3 linked regions of the Callithrix jacchus genome follow. The protein of the gene in region 3 purifies or fractionates together with the protein of the main gene of each other region. This does not show direct contact. Links are inferred from orthologs where the notes say so. Each region holds a gene or a part of one and is shown on either strand. Other genes may lie near its edges.

The links.
Region 1: the proteins of PTPN21 (region 3) and WWP1 purify together in Homo sapiens (affinity purification with mass spectrometry; 3 studies listed by BioGRID). This does not show direct contact. The link is inferred for Callithrix jacchus from reciprocal best matches to the Homo sapiens genes PTPN21 and WWP1.
Region 2: the proteins of PTPN21 (region 3) and TRIP6 purify together in Homo sapiens (affinity purification with mass spectrometry; 3 studies listed by BioGRID and IntAct, with this or other methods). This does not show direct contact. The link is inferred for Callithrix jacchus from reciprocal best matches to the Homo sapiens genes PTPN21 and TRIP6.

Annotation. Positions count from the first base shown.
Region 1 is NC_133517.1:40,734,718-40,738,860, reverse strand, and holds the start of WWP1 (NEDD4-like E3 ubiquitin-protein ligase WWP1), read left to right. Parts: upstream 1-1,325; 5' UTR 1,326-1,494; intron 1,495-4,143. UniProt on the Homo sapiens protein: E3 ubiquitin-protein ligase which accepts ubiquitin from an E2 ubiquitin-conjugating enzyme in the form of a thioester and then directly transfers the ubiquitin to targeted substrates.
Region 2 is NC_133503.1:12,852,473-12,855,869, forward strand, and holds the end of TRIP6 (thyroid receptor-interacting protein 6), read right to left. Parts: intron 3,375-3,397; coding exon 3,281-3,374; intron 3,193-3,280; coding exon 3,023-3,192; intron 2,280-3,022; coding exon 2,101-2,279; intron 1,220-2,100; coding exon 1,099-1,219; intron 823-1,098; coding exon 691-822; 3' UTR 542-690; downstream 1-541. UniProt on the Homo sapiens protein: Relays signals from the cell surface to the nucleus to weaken adherens junction and promote actin cytoskeleton reorganization and cell invasiveness. Involved in lysophosphatidic acid-induced cell adhesion and migration.
Region 3 is NC_133509.1:123,329,127-123,332,772, forward strand, and holds part of PTPN21 (tyrosine-protein phosphatase non-receptor type 21), read right to left. Parts: intron 2,126-3,646; coding exon 693-2,125; intron 1-692.

The sequences.
Region 1 (4,143 bases), on a different chromosome or scaffold from region 3:
AAGTTAAAGATGTGCCAAGGAGGCCAGGTGCGGTGGCTCACACCTGTAATCCCAGAACTTTTGGAGGTCGAGGCGGGTGGGTCACGAGGTCAAGAGATGGAGACCATTCTGGTCAACATGGTGAAACCCCGTCTTACTAAAAATACAAAAATTAGATAGGCGTGGTGGTGCAAACCTGTAGTCCCACCTACTTGGGAGGCTGAGGAAGAATAATTGCTTGAACCTAGGAGGCAGAGGTTGCAGTGAGCGGAGATCGCTCCACTGCACTTCAGCCTGGTGACGGAGTGAAACTCTGTCAAAAAAAAAAAAAAAAGTGCCAAAGGACTGCTCTCAGTGGAGAGCAGGCAGTGGTGTGGGCAGGGACATCTAGCCTCCCAGACAGAAGGAAAACAAGTGTGGACGTAGGGATAATCTATGGGGGAGTTGATTGGGGAAAAATTGTAGAAATCCATGCCTGAAGGCTTCTGCTTCTCTGAAGTAGAAAACCGGATCATCTGTTAAGTAATGCGGTTCCACTGACTTCTATTTGCACATTAGCCTTTCTTCTAAAAGCTACACATAACCAACAGCACTTCCTAAACCAGTTGACTTTTCTGTATAATGGAGACAGTAGACGCTACTTTATGGGATTGCTGTATGGGTTAATTGTGCCAACACGTGTACTTGCTCAGGAAGTATTAGCTTTATCACTGGGCTGATGTGAGTGAGGGCAGGGGAATGAAGGTTTTGATTAATAAATAATGGACTGCAAGTCTTCGGGTATGACCATGGATAAATGCAGTTATTTACTCTTGCAATGGGTTCTAAGTCAAACCCTCAGCTAGGTCAGGGAGTAGTTATGAACAGCCTACTTTTGCCCCAGGACCTTAAGAAGTCTTGCTCTGGGATCGGCCGCCTACCGGAAAGTCGTGTTCTCAGTGCCCAGCGCGGTCTTAGAACAGCCTCTTCCCAAATCTCAGCGGCGGCCCCGCCCCTTCCACAGGTTCAGGCCCCGCCCCTCCCTGCTATTGGCTGTCCCTCCCATTTGCTCGACCGCTCTCAGGACCCGGAGGAGCGGAGTTTTCTAAGGCAGCCTCCGAGCGCCCTCGCTGCGCATGCTCGGGGGAGGCCGATTCCGGGTCCGGAGTTGGAGGCTTTGGGCTGTCGCGGCGTCGCGCGCGGTGCCGGGGCCGGCGGGGAGGCGCGCGCTCGGGGCGCGGCGCCGGCGACGCTGCCACGCAGCGCGCTCCCGAGGAAGGGAGGTGTGGGGTCGCCTGGGGGTGGCGCGTGGCCGGGGTGGGGGTGGGGGGAGGGTCGGGTGTCGGCGAGCTCGGCGTGCGGGTTCCGAGTGTCTGAGGCGGCCTGGGCTGCCGGGGCCGACGCCTGGGTGGCTGCCGCCGCCGCGCCTGCTAAGAGATGGCGATCTTGGGCGCGGAAGGGTGAGGGCGCCCGCCGCAGGAGGAGGTGTCCCTGCCGTGGCCGCCCGGCTGCCGGGAGCCGACAGCTTCGCGCCGGGTAAGGACTGCGCGGCGCGGGGCTGGGGGCGCAGGACTGGGGAGGCGGGCGGGGAGGGAGGGGGCGCGGGCCCCGAGCCTTGGCCGCGGTGCCCGGCACCCGGCGCCGTCCGCCTGCGGGCGGGACCCTCCAAGGGGCAGTGAGAGGACGGTCCACCCTGCCTTGTCTGCCTTCTCCGCCTTCTCCAGCTCGGGAGCCGGGAGTTTTCTGGGGTGGGGTCACGGGTCTTGCCCAGAGTTGGCCCTGGCACAGGCCTGTGCCAGTGATCCTGAGCGGAGCTAAATGTTTCCGTGACTCTGCAGCCGCGGTTCTTCCTCAGCCTTCTCTTCGGTTTCCTTCACCTTTTCCTACCTCACTCAGAACACAAATATAGGGACTCATTGCCCGTGCCCTGAGTTTTCACCCCAATTTCAATGTTGCAAACCAAGGACTCCAGCCTTGGAATGCCTTTTTCTGACGTGTTTTTGTCACTCCCGGTTCTTCACCGACTCTGCAGCTCCCCTCCCTGCCCCCCCAGCGCAACCCCCACCTCTACCTTTTGTGACCTGGTAGGTCCCGGTGACCTTGCAGATTTTACCAGTCCTTTTTACCAGTCCTTATCTTGTCTGTGACTTACACACTTACCTTTCATCTTCGTTTTCTTTTATAAAATTTTTCATTTTCTTGTTTGCCCCTTACCTTTACGACCTTTAAATGATCAGTCTTGTTCACAGTCTTCTCTGCTCTGTGGATTTGGAGTTTTCTTTGCTCTGGTAATTATATGAAACCTTCATTACCAAAGAAGAGTAGCATCTGTTATAATTTTGACATTCACTCTTCCAGTAAAATATTTTCCAGGGGCTTTTGCTTTCTTTTTCTATTTGAAAAGTTTAACAGTTTTGGTTTTTTTTTTGTATGTAGGTTAATGTGGAACAAGATTTTGTGTTTCTGCTTTAAAATGTTACTGGTAATAGTAATGGGGAAAAAAATAATATCCACAGTTGTCTTTGTTTTCTCCGTTTGGTGATTTTGCCAGAAATACATGGGTTTACAGTTATCTGCAGGTTTTATTTATTTATTTTTTTACAAGAGTTCATGTGTATGTGTAAATCCTGCCTCACCAAATCTGTGTGTATTATGCAAGCAAAGAAAGTCGTTCTTGTATTGTGTGACTTGTTTTTAGCTATCAAGTTGGAAATTAGCTGCGACTAGAAATGATCATCTTTCATAAATAGTTAATATTTTAAAAATGGAAAGTATAATGGCCAAGTGTTTGGATCTACTCAGATTGAAAATTGTAAAGTATGTGAAATAGTTCTTTGGGACCTAGCTTATTAACATTTTCAGATAGTTCTTACCTTAAAATGCAAAACTGCTGGTAAGACCTATGACATCAGGATTTTCAAAAGCAATAATTACTAGTTATGTTTTTTGGAAGTCGGCCTAATAGAGAATGTCACAGATAAAGTCTCTGCCTTCAAAGAGATAGTAATCTTTGCTGTTTACCCCATGGTGGCTGAAATTTCCTTTACTTCCTTGTACAGATGTTAGGCATTTACTGCATAATTGTGGGGGATATTTTGGGGAATACAAAAATGAACTGATTAGCAGTTTCTGCTTTTACACTAATTAGGTAGATAGTGCTATAAACAAATGCCCTATTTGTCTTTTAATATATACGTTTCGTAAACAGTACCAAAATCCTCTCAGAAGTCAACTTCAAAGAGAGTAGAGCTCAGATCTTACTTGGCAAGGTAGGGATAAGAGGGTTAGTTCGTAGAGCTTCTGGCTTCTGAAATCGTGGTTTTGAAGGATCACTATGACTTTGGATAGGCAGGAAAGGTAATCCAAGCAGAGAGGGATCTCTAAGAGAGCACAGAGTTCCTGTTTGGGGAGAGGCAAGTAATTATGTTTGGGTGGAACATAGTGTTATTTGTATTTGGATAAAGGGTGATAAAACATGAAGTAGAAATTTGGAACAGTTTATGGGTTGTTTTTAATGCCAGGCTTATGAACCTTGGATTTACTAGGTGGTGGGGCTTCCACAGATGATTTTGAATTGGGAGTAAAACAATTTGAACACTTTGTTTCAGAGGGATTAGTGGGATAGCAGCCTGTAGTGTGAGTTGAGGTAGGGAGCGTGTGGAGGTAGAAAGACCTCCCAAGTGTTGTAGTCTGAGGTGTGGTGCACGCGAATGGAAAGGAAGAAAGGAAGTAGAATAGCCAAAATTTGATGAGAGGGCAAATGAAGAAAGTAAAAGTAACAGATTCTGATCCAGGTTGGTTGGGAGAACGTGGTACCATTTTGAGCAAAATCATGAAGCTTTACCCTCAGCATATGTGTGCTACTTTACAACCTTTTGGGGATTACTACTTCTTGGTGAAACTTAAGAAATCTGCTGGCCTGGAAAACTTCCATATGTACCTGTGCTTTGTGGCTACAGTTTTAGGAGAGTCCGTGGACCATCTGAAGGTCATCCATGGCACCCATCTCAGAATTACTTGGAGCTTTTTTTTTTTCCTGAGGTAGAATTTCTTTCACTCCTTCCAGGCTCATTGCAACTCCCACCTTCCAGGCTCAAGAGATTCTCCTGCCTCAGTCTCTCGAGTAGCTGCAAACACAGGCACTTCCCACCACACTTGGCTAATTTTTGTATTTTTTTGTAGAGA
Region 2 (3,397 bases), on a different chromosome or scaffold from region 3:
GGAGAATCACTTGAACCCACAAGACAGAGGTTGCAGTGAGCCAAAATCACACCATTGCACTCCAACCTGGGCAACAAGAGCAAGACTCCCTCAAAAAAAAAAAAAAAAAAAAAAAAACCACTGGGCGCAGTGGCTCAAGCCTGTAATCAATCGCAGCACTTTGGGAGGCCGAGGCAGGTGGATCACGAGGTCAAGAGATCGAGACCATCGTGGTCAACATGGTGAAACCCCGTCTCTACTAAAAAATACAAAAATTAGCTGGGCATGGTGGTACGTGCCTATAATCCCAGCTACTCAGGAGGCTGAAGTAGGAGAATTGCCTGAATCCAGGAGGCAGAGGCTGTGGTGAGCCGAGATCACGCCATTGCACTCCAGCCTGGGTATCGAGCAAAACTCCGTCTCAAAAAAAAAAAAAAAAAGCATGCAATCTGGGGGAGTCACCTCTCAGCTCTGGCATCTTCACATGTAAAAATAGACAGTAACAGCGACTGGGCTTGTAATGGGCTCCTGGGAGAATCAGATGAGACGACAGACTGGAAAGTGTTTTGTAAACTCGAGGGACTATTATTTTGTGATTGGAGAAAGAAGCCAGCATTTGGTGACAAAGTCACACAAGTGGATGTCAGGGAGGGTGACCCATCAACTGATGGGAACTGGAACTGAGAACCCAGCAGGTACTTTTAGGAAGACTCAGCAGTCAGTGGTGACGGTGGCTGAGAGCTCCTGGATGCGCCAGGCACTGCAGGCCTTGCACAAGATGTGCCCATCCAGTGGGTAGCAACCCTGGCACTCGCCCTCAGAGGAGAGCAGCAGCCCACACTCCTGTTGAAAAAGAAGCAACAATTAGCTGGGCATAGTGGTGGGTGCCTGTAATCCCAGCTACTCCAGAGGTAAGAGAATCACTTGAACCCAGGAGGCAGAGGTTGCAGTGAGCCGAGATCACGCCATTGCACTCCAGCCTGGACAACAGAGCAAGACTCCATCTCAAAAAAAAAAGCAGATTTCTGTCAACCAGAGACCTCTGTGTTCCCCCTCCCTCATGCTCTACCCAGCACCCCAGACATTGCCAACCCCTTGCACATGCTGGGGCCCCCTGACCTCACACTTGTAACAGCCAATGTGAAAACTTCGATCCAGAGCAACGATTCTCACTGTCTCCTCCTGACCTGGCTCGGGCATGATGGCCCCACCACACACTGAGCATCTCGGGGCAAACTTCCTGGAGGGGAAGAGAACCGAGAAGGCCATCAAGCCCTGGCGTTGCAGGGCACCAACAATGGGACCCAGAGAAGGTGGGGCACTGGAGGGAATCAGAGGCCAGAGGCGTGGCCTTAGGTCTGGGGAAGGGATGATGTCAAGGAGAATGAGAGAGGCCGGGCGCAGTGGCTCTGGCCTGTAATCCCAGCACTTTGGGAGGCCAAGGCAGGAGGATCACTTGAGGCCAGGCTTTCAAGACCACCCTGGGCAACAGAGCAAGACCCTATCTTTATTAAAAAACAAAGAAGGCCAGGTGCAGTGGCTCATGCCTGCAATCCCTGCACTTTGGGAGGCTGAGGTAGGCAGATTGCTTGAGCCCAGGAGTTTGAGACTAGCCTGGCCAACATAATGAAACCCTGTCTCTACTAAAAATACAAAAAAAAAAGCCTGGCTGGACATGGTGGCACGTGCCTGTAATCCCAGCTACTTGGGAGGCTGAGGCAGGAGAATCACTTGAACCCTGGAGGCAGAGGTTGCAGTGAGCTAAGATCATGCCACTACACTCCAGCCTTGGCAACAGACTGAGACTCCATGTCAAAAGAAACAAAAAATAAGAAAACTAGCCAGGCATGGTGGCATGTGCACCTGTAGTCCCAGCTACATGGGAGGCTGGGGCAGGAGGATCACTTGAGCCCAGGAGTTGGAGGCTGCAGTGAGCTATCATCACGCCACTGCACTCCAGCCTGAGCAACAGAGTGAGACTCTGTCTCTAAAAAATAATAATAACAAAGAATGAAGGAGGGCCAGGGGTTGGAAACAGGAAGAGACAGTCCTGGGGCATGAGAGATGAGATGAGACAGGAAAGGTCAGACATTGTGAGATGAGGTGGAGGCCGGGCCTGACCTGTGAAAGTCCTCGATGCAGTGGATCTGGCTGGTAGCATCCACTGTGAAGGGGATGCCATCGAGGCCGCGGTGACACACCACGCAGGTGAAGCAGCCAGGGTGGTAGGCCTTTCCCATAGCTCGCAGGATCCGGTCCAGGATGGGCTGGGAACACGTGGCACATTTCTCCAGGGTGGCCTGTTGGGAAGGAAAGCAGGAAAATCTGGCAGCCAGCGGGAGCCACGGCAGCCCACCAGGCACCCCAACAGCCCAGCCATCTATTTCTGGAGCCCCCTGCATGTGATTCTGAGTTCAGATCCTAGCACTACACAAAGTATTTAACCACTCTGAGAAAAGCAGCAATCGGGCTGGAGTGGCTCACGCCTGTAATGCCAGCACTTCGGGAGGTCAGAGTGGGCAGATTGCTTGAGGCCAGGAGTTCAAGAATAGCCTGGCCAACATGGCGAAACCCCGTCTCTACTAAAAATACAAAAATTAGCCAGGTGTGGTGGCAGGCACCTGTAATCCCAGCTACTCGGGAGGCTGAGGCACGAGAATCACTTGAACCAGGGGAGACAGAGCTTGCAATGAGCCGAGATAGCGCCACTGTACTCCAGCCTGGGCGAGAGAGCAAGACTCTGTTTCGAAAAAGGAAAACAGGAGTTGGTAGTAATACCTGCCTCGTGGGTGTGGTGGGAATCTAACACATTCTCTTTAACTGTAAGACGCCCCGCTCGTTAAGAGCTGCATCCTTCCCTCCAGCCACCAGTGTTGAGCTACTTGCTTGGTATTTGCAGAATTCCTTCCTGTTTGTACACCGCTTCCAGCGGCCCGGCTTCTAGCACGGTTCCTCCTCTGGGCTTGGATGTTCTAGCTCCCACCTTGGATGGAAGCCCCGGCCTCCAGCCACTGACTCCAGCCCCCCAACCCCAGCCACTCACCACATAGCAGCCCTCGCAATATGCCCTCCTCTCCACGGCGTAGAAATGCTGGCCCCGAAGCTGGGCCCGGCATGTAGAACACACAAAGCAGCCCACGTGAAAGACGCGATCGAGGGCCACAACCCCGGCCCCATCCCCGACCACATCTTCTCCACAGCCACCACACCGGCCTGAGGACAGGCAGAAACAATATCAGCTGTCCCTTCTGTCTCCCAGCCTCCCCTCCTGCTTTCCACCGGCCCCACAGCCTCAGCTCACCGAAGTACTCCCCGCTGGGCGGGTGGTTCATGTCGTGCACCAGCTTCTTGGTCAGCCTGTCCAGCTCATCCTCCGGAGGCTGGCTCAGGGACACCTGGAAGGTGGGAATCAGGGGTT
Region 3 (3,646 bases):
ATTTATTACACTGAATAGTAAAGAACTGCATCTTCCACAAGGGACTTTCCTGATTCTCGGCTGAATTCTTCTTTCTTTTAAATTTAAGAAACCAGAACATCTCAGGATTTGCCTTGACAGAGTGCCACCTTCCCAACTCCAGAATCACTCTGAAGAATCACGGCCAAGATATGTAAGCTGAATCCACACATACTCCAACCTGGAGAATTATATTAGGGCTGAGAACACGTCCCTGTATACTCCTCTCAGATATCTCTCGAGCAAACTGAACAAATGCACCCCTAGGGTGCCGCATCACCCACAGTACTTTTAAAGGGCGACTAAAGCAATCCTGGTTAAAGTTATGTAATCTTAACTGTCTTTTCCTTAATACTGCATTACTAAAACATTTCATTCATCTTTTGCATTCCTTTCCACAAAGCCCTGTGAATTTGCCTTTTCACTTCATCTATAGTAATTCATTATCTTCATTAAAACTACTAAAATTCAAGCGGATCGCCATTTCACATATAAAGTTACATGTATTCAAAAAAAGACAAAAAGAGAGTGACATGGGGGAATGAAGAAAGTTAAAAGAACAAGAGGAGCCGAAAAGCATGGGAAGCGATGAGGGAAAGCACCGCCAGGGCAGAAGCATGGAGCGCCCGTCGAAGGCGCGGTTCCCTGCTTGCACTACTCTCCGAGCGACTTACCCCCAGGGGCGGGAGCCCTTCCACGATGTTCTTTTTCCCAGAGAGGAGGTCCGACACTGGCCTCTTCTTCAAAGAGTCCCTCCGGGCACGGTAGCGGCCCGACGTGGTGAGGTCTGACTCTGACATGGAGGGAGTCAGCAGCCCGTCTCTCCGGGGCCGCTGGGCCTCTGCTGTCATGCGGACTGGGCTGCTGTCCGTTGTCCTCTTCTCTGCATCCAGGACGTGGACCTTGGGCTCGAGGATGTGCAGGGGCCTGGCGAGCAGGGAGCGGGGGCAGCGGGGTGGGTCCTGGGCCAGGCCCGGCCGGGGCTCGCCGGCACGTGCAGGGGGCGCTCGGGCCCCGCTCTCCTCCTCGAAGTCCTCGTCCTCGTCCTCCTCGCTGCTGTGGATCAGCATGGTGGCGTCCGACAGGGACTTCTTATGGCCGTATCTCAAGCCCTCCGGCTCCTCTGGCCCTTCCCGCTTTGTCCGCTCGGCAAAAATGCTGGGCTGGGAGCCCGCCGAGAGGGCTCGCGGCGCCACTTCCGCCGCCGACGCGGACAGGGTCCGCTCCTTGAGCCGCAGGCCCTCCAGGCCGTGGCTGAGCCCGGCCACCTCGATGCTGTTCCGCTTGTGCAATTGCGCGTGGCGCGCGGCGGTGAGGGGCTCGCTGACCTCCTGCAGGGAGTGCGCCACGGGCAGGCTGTCCTCCTGGAACGTCTGCACCGAGTGGTGCACACGCCGCGTGATGAGGTCGGGGTTGCTGCTGCTTATGTACAGATGACGGGACAGGTCGGGCGTGCTGTTGGCGGGCCGGGGGGGCGGATAGGGCGGGGGCGGCCGGTACACCTGCGTCCGCATGATGTTGGGGGCCGGGTAGTCCTGCGCCTGCAGCTGTGCGTTGGTCAGCTCGGGCACGCTGACCGCGCCCACCACGGGCCGCCGCTCGGCGGGGTAGGGGTAGGGAGACGGGCTGTGGAAGCTGTAGCTCAGGCTGAACGGGCAGTGAGCGGCCGGCGGCGAGGGGAGCTGCGCGTGCTCCCGGATCTCGGGCTGGCTGTAGACCAGCGCCGCGGGCCGGCTGTAGGCGTACGAGCTGCCGATGTTGAGGTTTCGCAGCGAGTGGCTCTGCCGTTCCGCATGCACCAGGCCCCGGTTGAGCTGCTTCATCACAGTCTCATAGTCTGGGGTGGGGCGGTAGGACGGGGGTATCAGAGCGCTGTGCCGATGGGATGGGACGTAGTCGGGCCTCATGACGTCACTCCCGGTGATGCTGGGGTTGGACGACATCGGCGAGGCCTGCAAGTAGGGCTGAGGATTATTTAAGGAGTTGGTGCTGTGCGCACTGTAGACACTGCCGTTACGGATCCGACCGTTGAGGTCAATCTGGGCTCTATCCAAGCTTGTCTGAGAGTGACAGTAGTATCCGTTCTGGTTGGGCACAAAGAGGTTATCTAGAAAAAATGAGTTCCAAATGAGATTTTTTAAAATTGGACTAATTACTCCAACCAAACATTGAGATCAGCCCTTAACCTCTGATGACACTTTTAACACAGATTTTAAAAATCCATGCTAAAATGACCTAGCTTTGGCCACAGGCACTGAGTGACCCTGGCAGCTTCGGCTTCCTCCTCTATAGGATGGGGATGGTTCTGCCTGCTTAAAGGGTGGCATTCATTGGGTGACAAAGTGAGACCCTGTGTTAAAACACACACACACACACACACACACACAACCAGACTAGCAGAGTTTTTGGAACTCTGGGGAAGTTGGAGGCAGAGATACCATTCAAGGCACTGAGCCGGGGACCTTGCCTTCCTTCCCTGGGTAGGGATGTGGCCTTGCTGCTGCTGAGTCAGTTCAAGCACCGGCTGTCTGTAAGCATTTCCTTAACTGGGATTTTTGGATTGTTTGTTCTTCCCAAATGAACATGAGAGCTTTGACTGTAAAGGGTAATGGTATGGCAGGATATGAGCGTCCAGCACAGCAGCACTGTGTCACCAGCAGCCACACAGCCCATAAAGTGTCCAGAAGCCAGGAGGAGCCATACTAAAACAGCTGCAGCTGCCTCCTGCCCTGGCCCCCATGTTTCAGGAAGATCCAGACCTACGGCTAACAATCAATTTAACATCATCTTACAGTAGCTCTGCATGTGTCCCTGCCCAAGGATGACAGGGGCCATGTTTCTTCCAATTTGTAGTTCACTTGCCATCTGTTACCGAGAGTGCTTTCTAACACTAGAAACTCAGCAGCCAAGTCCTTCAAATAACAATTTCCTCTGAAAGGCATTCTTTTAGTGCTTCACAAGCTCCGTGATGGTTTAAGTGGCCATGTGATACTTAGGTGATACACCACAATCCAGGGGTTACACTTTACTCTGGTGGGACATGCGGCTGTGAGGAAACAGCACTCAAACTTCCATGGTATTTCTTCTGCTGACACACAGCACTTCCTTGTCACTATGCTTTCCTCGTCTATACAAAGCTCCATTATGGTTCCACCTCTGCAATCCCCCTTTTCTCACTGCTGTCACAACTCGGGCCCCGACCCCAGCTTGTCTGAACTAGCTCCATATCCACGTAGTCTCGTTGCTTCTGCACCACACAGACCAGCCAGTCATCTATAAGACTGATAGGTGGAAAAGGCAATACTGAGAACAGAAGGGGGAAAAGGTGGCTAGAATACAGGCAGGAAAAGGGGAAAGGTATACATGAAATCACTGTAATTCAAGGAAGAGAGAAAAGGTAAAGGGTTACAGGAGTCTAGAGGAAGGAATGGTCATTTCCAGCCTGGGTTGGGTTGATGGGGACAAGAAAGAGAGAACCAAGAACCACCTCACAGAAGATATGGCAGTCAAGGGGACTTGAGGGGCAAGTGGGTGGGGTAGGCATGTGCAGCTTCCATCAGAAGTGAGGTCTCTCGACCTCTCAGAGTAGGCGAGATCATGTCTCCTCACCCCTTGATATCAGATACAG